Linked DNA regions of Macaca mulatta. The protein of the gene in region 1 interacts with the protein of each later gene in a pairwise test. Links are inferred from orthologs where the notes say so. Each region holds a gene or a part of one and is shown in the gene's direction. Other genes may lie near its edges.

The links.
Region 2: the proteins of TLE5 (region 1) and PRR3 interact in binary tests that used the Homo sapiens proteins (3 or more experiments, as listed by UniProt). The two-hybrid records come from large-scale screens. The link is inferred for Macaca mulatta from reciprocal best matches to the Homo sapiens genes TLE5 and PRR3.

Annotation. Positions count from the first base shown.
Region 1 is NC_133424.1:3,854,943-3,859,544, reverse strand, and holds the start of TLE5 (TLE family member 5), read left to right. Parts: upstream 1-1,551; 5' UTR 1,552-1,748; coding exon 1,749-1,976; intron 1,977-2,162; exon of another isoform or gene 2,163-2,478; coding exon of another isoform or gene 2,479-2,505; intron 2,506-2,749; exon of another isoform or gene 2,750-3,056; intron 3,057-3,401; coding exon 3,402-3,499; intron 3,500-4,602. UniProt on the Homo sapiens protein: Transcriptional corepressor. Acts as a dominant repressor towards other family members. Inhibits NF-kappa-B-regulated gene expression. May be required for the initiation and maintenance of the differentiated state.
Region 2 is NC_133409.1:152,487,705-152,492,411, reverse strand, and holds the start of PRR3 (proline-rich protein 3), read left to right. Parts: upstream 1-1,678; 5' UTR 1,679-1,728; coding exon 1,729-1,834; intron 1,835-2,559; coding exon of another isoform or gene 2,560-2,622; intron 2,623-4,707. Other genes in the region: GNL1 (guanine nucleotide-binding protein-like 1), read right to left, coding at 1-80, 496-568.

The DNA of each region.
Region 1 (4,602 bases):
GTGTGCTCAGCACCTGCCAAAGGAGGACCTTAAAGGAACAGCCTTATTTCTTTTTTTTTTTTTTTTTTTTTTGAGACGGAGTCTCGCTCTGTCGCCCAGGCTGGAGTGCAGTGGCGCGATCTCGGCTCATTGCAAGCTCCGCCTCCCGGGTTCACGCCATTCTCCTGCCTCAGCCTCCTGAGTAGCTGGGACTACAGGCGCCCACAACCGCGCCTGGCTAATTTTTTGTATTTTTAGTAGAGACGGGGTTTCACCGTGGTCTCGATCTCCTGACCTTGTGATCCGCCCGCCTCGGCCTCCCAAAGTGCTGGGATTACAGGCGTGAGCCACCGCGCCCGGCGGAACAGCCTTATTTCAATGGCCTCTTTGGGGCCTGTTCTCTGAATGGCAGAAAGAGGGATACTTTCATAACCGCCACCAGGTCCCATTCCTCCTCTTCCCACGGCTCTCCAGGATTCCCACCTCACTCAGAGCAAAAGCACAAGTCTAAAGCCAGGTGCGGTGGCTCACACCTGTAATCCCTGCACTCTGGGAGGTAGAGGCGGGAGGATCACCCAACGTCAGGATTTCAAGATCAGCCTGGCCAATATAGTGAAACCCATCTCTACTAAACATACAAAAATTAGCCAGGCATGGTGGTACGCACCTGTAATCCCAGCTACACGAGAGGTTGAGGCAGGAGAATCGCTTGAACCCGGGAGGCGGAGGTTGCAGTGAGGCAAGATCACGTCACTGCATTCCAGCCTGGGCAACAGAGTGAGACTCCATCTCAAAAACAAACAGCTGGGCAAGGTGGCTCACGCCTGTAATCCCAGCACTTTGGGAGGCCGAGGCAGGTGGATCACCTGAGGTCGGGAGTTCAAGACCAGCCTGACCGACATGGAGAACTCTCGTCTCTACTAAAAATACAAAATTAGCCGGGCGTGGTAGCACGTGCCTGTAATCCCAGCTACTCGGGAGGCTGAGGCAGGAGAATCACTTGAACACGGGAGGCAGAGGATGTAGCGAGCTGGGATCGTGCCATTGCATTCCAGCCTGGGCAACAAGAGTGAAACTCCGTCTCAAAAGCAAACAAAAAACAAACCACCAGGTCCCATCCCTCCTCCTCCCACAGCCTTCCAGGGCTCCCACTTCACTCACCCAAAAACCCAAGTCCTCCCCATGGCCCACAAGTCCTTGCTGGACTGGCCTGCTTCACCAGCTACAGAGTTAGCAGGGCCCAGTGCAAAAGAAAACTGAAAGGCCCCTTGTTCAAAAATGATTAGGAATCTCAAAATGCAACACTAAATATTAACCCAAGCACAAGCCCTGCTGAGGAGGGGGGGGGGCCCGGGCAAATGCATGAAGCCCCAGGCCCTGCCTCCCTCCGGCCTTCCTGACCTCCGCCCTGGCACCCTGATGCCAGGCACAGTCCTGCCCCAGGGCCTTTACACCTGCTGGTCCTGCCTCTGAGTACCTCTGTACCCCATCCCCCTGTTCTCTCTCCTTCTTTGGGTCGTTTTAGGGGCGGAGGAAGCTCTCTCTGATCCTCCCTGCCACCTGTTTAACTTTGCATCTTCCTACCCTGCCATCCTCCCGGCTGGTTTTTCTGCAGAACGGTCCCCACCATCTGACCTGCTGGGAATTCAGCTTGTTAATTTGTCTCTGTCTGTCTCCAGGCACCACCACCAGAGCAGGGACCCCCCACCCCCGCCCCCACCACAGGGCCCTGGAGCAGCAGGCCCTGGCACACAGTAGGCGTTCTATAAATGTGTCGCAAGAATGGCTTCCCTGAGAAAGGCGGCATTACCGCTGCCTTTCTGCAGAAAAGGAAACTGAGGCTCAGCGAGAACCACCGCCCAGCCAGAGCCAAGGTCACAGAGCACGTCCGTGGCACGCGTCCAGGTCGTGCCACGGCAGGGCTGGCGGCTTCGACGCGGGCAGCCGGGTCCCTTTTCTTTGACAGATGGGGAAACCGAGGCCCGGCCTGCTGCCGGGTTGGGGGGGGTGGCGGGGGCCGCGGCCCGGGGCGGGGGCGGGCCGGGCCCAAGGTCACCGCGGCGGGCGGGCCCTGGGGAGGCGGGCCGGGGTGGGGATCCGCAGGCCTCCCCGGGCGCGCGCCTCCCCCCCCTCGGCGGCGCGCACGGGGCACGGGCGGCGGCGGCAGGTGGAGCCGGAGCCTCAGCATCAGCCGAGCCGCGGCCACTGCCGGCGTCGCCGCCATTAGACAATAGCGGTGGGGCCGGGGAGCGGGGAGGCGGGCGGCGGGGAGGGGCGGGGAGGGGCGCCGGGCGCGCAGGAAGCGGGGCCCGGGGCGCGCCGGGGCCGGGCGCGCGGGGAGGGGGCGCAGGAAGCGGGCGAGGCCGGGCGCGGGAGGCGGCGGCGGCCCCGGGAGCTGCCGATCGGCGCCGGGACAAAGGCGCGGCCGCCCGGCGCCCCCAGCAGCCCGAGCCGGGGCGCACAGCCGGGGCGCAGCCCGCGCCCCCTGCCGCGACTGACATGATGTTTCCACAAAGCAGGCATTCGGTAAGCGGGGTCCGTCCGGCAGGCGCCCCCACCCCGGATCCCGGCCCTGCGCTCCCCACCCCCGGCTCCCGGCCCCGCGCCCCCCACCCCCAGGCCCGGTGCCTCCGGCCCGGCACCCCCCCCAACTCCCCGGCCCTGTCTTCCCTCTCCAGCTCCAAGCCCGGCGCGACCCCCCTCCTGCCGCCGGCCCCCGGACACCCCCCAGTTCCCGATCCACCCCAGCTTCCGGGCCCCGAGCCCCCCCGTCCCAGCTCCCGGCTTGGCGCCCCCCCCCTCGCCGGGACAGGCAGGGCCTCGGACGGCCTTGGCCTCGGGCCTGGGGCGCTCCGGGAGCCCCGCCAGGCACCTCTAGCGCGGGGATCCTTTGGGGGCCTGTGGTGGGGGGGCGATCCGAGGCGCACCCCTCCCGGAAGAGCGCGTCCCCGAGGAAGGGCGCTGGGAATCTGGGGTGGGCCCCCCGGGAAGATTTCGGGCGCCGAGAGACCCCTCCCCCAAGAGGGCTTTGCTGGGAGGACTCGCTGCCCCCCAACTTGGGGAGGGGGCTCCCTAGGGTGCGTATCCACCCCCCTCGGATGTGCACTCCCTCCCGGCGCTTTGGAGGGGCGGTAGAGGGCGCACCCTGCCCCCCATCTAGGGCAGGCCTTAAAACGCACCCCCACTGCTTGGAGGTGGCGGGGGTCGGGGCGGCTCCGGGCGCACCCACCCCCTCGGCTTCCCCCGGGAGAGGCGGGGGGCAGGAAGCGCGGGTGGGGGCCGCGCCAGGGGCCGTAAACACGGGCCCAGGAAGTGGGGCAGGAGGGGGGGCGCCGCAGCTGCGCGGCCGCTCCCTCCCGGCTGGCCCTCGAGGGGGGTCCAGCCCAAGCCAGGGCCTGACCCGGGCCGCCCCTTCCCCACAGGGCTCTTCGCACCTACCCCAGCAACTCAAATTCACCACCTCGGACTCCTGCGACCGCATCAAAGACGAATTTCAGCTACTGCAAGCTCAGTATCACAGGTGAGCTGGGGGGCCGAGGGTCCCTGCGTCCCGAGAAGGTGAGCCCCCCACCCCATTTTTTCTGCGCAGATGGCAAGGCTGAGGCCTGGAGGGGAGATTGGGAAAATAATGTATGCTAGACTCTGACCTAATACTTGACAAATAGGGAATTCATTTTTTTTAAACAGCTGCATTCTGTGGAGGACAAAACTGAGGCACAAAATAAGTTAAATAATTTGCCCAAAGACCCAGCTGTGTGGCTTCAGAGCCCCTCCCTCCTACCCAATCCCCCCAAGTCCCCCCTTGGATAAAAGACAATTGGAGTTAGGGCACAGACTCGCCGTCCCCCCAACCCCCAAAACAAACATTTTGCAGCCTGGTCATCTCTCTTTGCCCAGTTTTGGAGAAAGGGTTCCCAGCATCAGTCAGATTCTCCCAGGTGCTTCTTTCAGAAATCTCCTGGCGTTTCTGAAGAGCTTGCCATGCTGTGGTATCTAAGGGGAAGGAACTATTTAGTCCTTTTACACTTAAAGAAATTTAATCCCAGGCCGGGTGCCACCGGTGGCTCACGCCTGTAACCCCAGCACTTTGGGAGGCTGAGGCGGGTGGATCACTTGAGGTCAGGAGTTCGAGACCAGCCTGGCCAACATGGCGAAACCCCGTCTCTACTAAAAATACAAAATTAGCCGGGTGTGGTGGCAGACGCCTGTAATCCCAGCTACTTGGGTGGCTGAGGCAGGAAACTTGCTTGAACCCGGGAGGCGGAGGTTGCAGTGAGCAGAGATCGAACCACCACACTCCAGCCTGGGTAACAGAGAGAGACTCGGTGTCCGAAAAAAAACAAAAAAAAATAAAGAAGAAGAAACTTAAGCCCAGAGAGGTTATTTCCTCGGGGATGTCCGTAGCGTTGAGGAAGTGGCAAGGCTGAGGTTTGCACCAGGTCTCTCTCCTGGTTTAAGGTTTAAGGATACAGATTTTCACCTGCCCTACTCTGGAGGGGCACGCCGGGCCTGGGAATCTGGAGGAAGTCAGGCTACGCTCAAACCCCCGTTTGGCCTTGGGGCCCTCTCCAAACTGAAGTGTGCCCACCCCAGAAATGTTCCTGGAAGGATCCTGGATTCCCT
Region 2 (4,707 bases), on another chromosome or scaffold:
CGAGGTGTCTGTCTGTTCCTCTCGCCGCTCCCGGCTCCCGCTGCGGCTGTTGGAACTGGAGCGCAGCCCATCTTGAAGCCCTGCGGGGAGGGGCCGGTGACGCCAGTGCTGGCCAGCTCTCAGGGGCCATAAGACCCTCTCCCCCACCGGTCTGACTCTTCTTCATCCCACTCAACTTCTTCCGACGCTCTGTCCTCCCAACCACCCTATTCGGGACCCTCCCGGATGTGCGTGGGGGGGAATCACTCCTCCAGGGAGCAGTAGGGACGGCGCCCCGTGCGAGCTGGAGGGATTCCCCTCCCCCAACTCTCCATCCTTCCCCACCCCTTCCAGATGTGGGGGGGTGGGGTGGGAGATCCCCTCCGCGATAGGCCGCGAGGGTTGGCGCGGTCCCACGACACCCTCCCACGACCCCCAGAGGTGCAGCGGGCACACCCCTCCTTCCAGCTGTGCGGAAGCCCGAGCCCCGCCTCCTCCTCCAGCTCCCGCACTGACCTCTCTTCCGCTCCCGTTTGTCCTGCAACTGCTTCTTCTTCTGCTTCACGCTAAAGGGCTTCTTCCTCGGCATGGCCCGGACCAGTCACCTGGCCCGCCCTCCGCCGAGCTCCTGCCGCCTCAACTGACTGCCCCCCGGGGCAGTCCCCGCCGCAGGGGCCCGGGACCCTAGAGGAGGCGGAGCTAGCAGGTGACGTCAGCGGGCGGGCCCGACCGAATTGCCGCCGCGGCGGCGATGGAAGGCGGACAGGGGAGATACACAGTCACTTCCCTCCAGGAGCGAGGCGAAAGGATGATGCGGGGTGGGCTACTGGCACGTGAGAGCCAGTAGCACCGAGAGAGCACCCCGGCGGCGAGGAAGGAGGCGCGCGTGGGAGGACCAGGCTAACTTCGTCACGGACGCTACCAACTCGCGTTCGGAGGAGGGGGGAGCGCGTGTCATCACTACCTTGCGCTCCCGGGAGAAGCTACCACTCACCTGGAGGGGGCGGCGGAGCGGAGGGCGGGGCCTATTACCTAGGGGAGAGGAGGAGTGGACACGCTGAGGCTACACTCCCAACCCCCAGGCTTGACCTTAGTGGAAAGCCGAGACGGTGCGTCCCGGGAATGAAGCCAGGTTGCTGGGCTACACCGGGGGCACGGTCAGAGGTCTTTAGGGGAGGGCGGCGGTCTGAAGAGTCCTGGCTGCCGACCTGCTGGGACCCAAATTCCTTGTGGGAACGATGATAAGGAGCAGGTTTACAGATCAGAAGTGCAAAAGCGGGCGAGAAGCGAAACCCAGGCGGGACAAGGGCTTTTGGAGGGAGGTCAAAGGGCACAAAGTTGTGCCTGCAGCTGTTACCATAGTAACCGAGGACCGGATGTGGCGATCTTACGGTGCGACAGTCCTCTTCTCAGGCCTTCTGGCCCGAGAGCCTGTTGACTCTGTGACACACTCTGAGGAGCTGGTTGTGGTGTTTTCCAGCGAGGGAAGAAGAGCGGAATTTTTTCAAAGCATTTATAGAAACGCAGCAAAAGGAAGGTGTGAGGTTGCCGCCATGCCTGGCAGAGACGGAGAGAGGCAGTTTACTCCAGAATGCGGCCGCCACAGATGTTCTCCGCAACCTTCCGGAAGTGGAATGGTGGGAGCTTGGGCATTGCTGCCCACCGACCCCCCGGAAGCGGAAACAGAATCCCCGCGTGCCCCTTCCTCACTACCCTCCAAATCCCGCTGCAGCCATTGCCGCAGCCACGATGCCGAAACGAAAGAAGCAGAATCAGCACCAGCCACCGACACAGCAGCAACCCCCACTGCCCGAGCGGGAAGAGACTGGAGATGAGGAGGATGGGAGTCCCATCGGTGAGGGGTCAGGGAGGGATGTGCACATGCCTGTCAAGCCCGTCCGGGCGAAGGGCTAGGGGCTAATAAGGTGCGAAGGAAGGGGCTCTAACGGAAGGAGGAAGGGCGCACGCGCTGGGTAGGGATGGCAGCAGGGCTGTCCCAAATGGAGCCTTGAACCAGGAGTTCTCTTACTGGAACCGTCAACCTCAATACGGCCCCAAACCTTTCTGGAACGCGGGGGTGGAGAGAGTAAAGAGCTCTTTTGCGCAGCCGCAGAACAGTAGGGGAAAGGGGCAGTAGAGATGTTGCAGATTGCGATGACTGGGTTGACAGTTTGTATCCGGATTTTGATTGAAAAGGTACAGGTGCCGCTTTCTCTAAACTAGTCCTCTGGCCGAGTGAAAGGAGAAGAGAACTGACTGGCCAGCAGTTAAGGTGAGGGATTGGTTTATGTCTGGAGACACTTAGGTTGTTTTGGATAGCGACGGTACGGTGAGGAAAAGAAAAAGTTGTATCTTTTCCTGCATTATCGCCTTTGATTGAATATCTACTTTTTGCAAACCCTGAAACAGCTTTGCAGAAAAAAGAGCAGATAGATGGGGTGAGAACTCCTAAGACTGCTGAAAATATACCTGACTTTACTGGTTGAATTAAGAAATGAGTAATACAAGAAAAACGCCTAAGAACAGAATCATCAGTCCTTTAATCCATTCTGATGACCATATTTTCATGTCTGCTCTTAGGACCACCCAGCCTTCTGGGCCCTCCCCCCATGGCCAATGGAAAACCTGGCGACCCTAAGTCAGGTGAGGAGGAAGGGGCCCTGATCCTTGTATTAGGTCGCGGATAAGACGGCAAGGGAGGGGATAAAACCCAGGAAGGACTTAAAAATCAAAAGGTCAGGGATTCCATCCCTAAATGAATGGAGAGAAGTTGTATATTTGCTGACTGAAAAACTCAATGTTGTAAAAATGTCACTTCTTCCCAAATTGATGTATAGACTTCATGCATTCCAAGTCAGAACACCCATAATGTTTTTGTGGAAATACACAGTATTATAGGGAAATGCAAAATATCAAGGTGAGAGACTGTCAAAACAATCTTGAAGTGGGAGGGCGTACTATGAATATCAAGATTTGTAAGCTGGGCATGGTGGCATATGCCTGTGGTCCCAGCTACTCAGGAGGCTGAGGTAGGAGGATCCTTTGAGCCCAGGAGTTTTTGAGGCCACTTGGGCAACATAGTGAGATCCTGTCTATAAAAACAAGAAGGAAAAAAGACTTACTATAAAGCTACAGTAGTTACAACGATGCGGTTTGGACACAATGATACACATAAGTCAACAGGACTTATGTCCCGAAGAGTCCAATAACAGGCCCATACATGTGTGGACACTTCATTTATGATGAAGATGGAACTGGAAAGTTGGTCTTTTCAATAAATGATATTGGATCAATTGGATATTCATGTTAAAAAATGGAATTTCACCTTGTAGTCATAATCATATTGTATAATGGACTGTAGATCTAAGTATAAAAGGTAAGAGAATAATTATTCTAGAAAGTAAATGTATTTTCTAAGAGTAGCTAAGAGTTCTTAAACAGATAAGAAATGTAGGTATACACACTAACCATAAAGGAAAGATTGATAAATTGAACTCCATTAGAAAATATAAATTTGCGGCCAGGTGCAGTGGCTCACACCTGTAATCCCAGCACTTTGGGAGGCTGAGGCGGGCGAATCACAAGGTCAGGAGTTCAAGACTGGACTGACCAACATAGTGAAACCCCTATCTCTACTAAAAAATACAAAAATTAGCCGGATGTGGTGGTGTGCGCCTGTAATCCCAGCTACTCAGGAGGCTGAGGCAGGAGAATCGCTTGAACCTGGAGGCGGACGTTGCAGTTAGCCGAGATCGCACCACTGCACTCTAGCCTGGGTGACAGAGTGAGACTGTCTCAAAAAAAAAAAAAAAAGAAAGAAAAGAAAATATAAACTTGCCAAATAACGCCATTAAGAAATTAACAGGAAGCTATACAATAGAAGATATTTGCAACAAATATAACCAATAAAGATCCTTTATCTATAATATATAAAGGATTCTTCCAGACAAGCCATTTGAAAAATCGACCAAAAAAAAAAAAAAAAGGACACCTTATTAAAATGGAGCTCTAAATGAACTAAAAGTCTAAATCAACAAGTACTCAATATCATTAATCGTCAAGTAAATGCAAGATAAAAATATACCACTTTGAAATTAGAACTCTTGTGTACTGCTGCTGGGATTATAAAATGGTGAAACTACTATATAAAACAATATGAAGAGATTCCTCTTAAGCAATTAAAAATATGTATGTATGACAAAAAAAATTAAAAATAGAACTACCCCAGAACTCCTGCTTCCAGGTATATAGCAAAAAAAAAAAAAAAAATGGAAAGCAGGGTCTTGACATATTTGCAGACTCATGTTCATAGCAGCAGTATTCACAATAACAAAGAGGTGGAAGCAACCCACATGTCCACTGATGGAAGAATAAACAAAATGTGGCGTGTACATACAATGGATTATTATTCAGCCTTAAAAGGAAGAAAATGCTGTCACATACTACAACATGGATGAACTTTGAGGACTTTATGTTCAGTAAAGACATAGTGTATGATTCTGCTTATCTGAGGTGTCTAAAGTCAAATTCAGGGGCCAGGCGTGGTGCTTCACACCTGTAATCCCAGCACACTGGAGGCCAAGGCAGGTGGATCACTTGAGGTCAGGAGTTCGAGAACAGCCTGGCCAAAATGGCGAAACCCCATCTCTACTAAAAATAGAAAAACTAGCTGGGCATGGTGGTGCATACCTGTAATCCCAACTACTCAGGTAGCTCAGGCATGAGAAT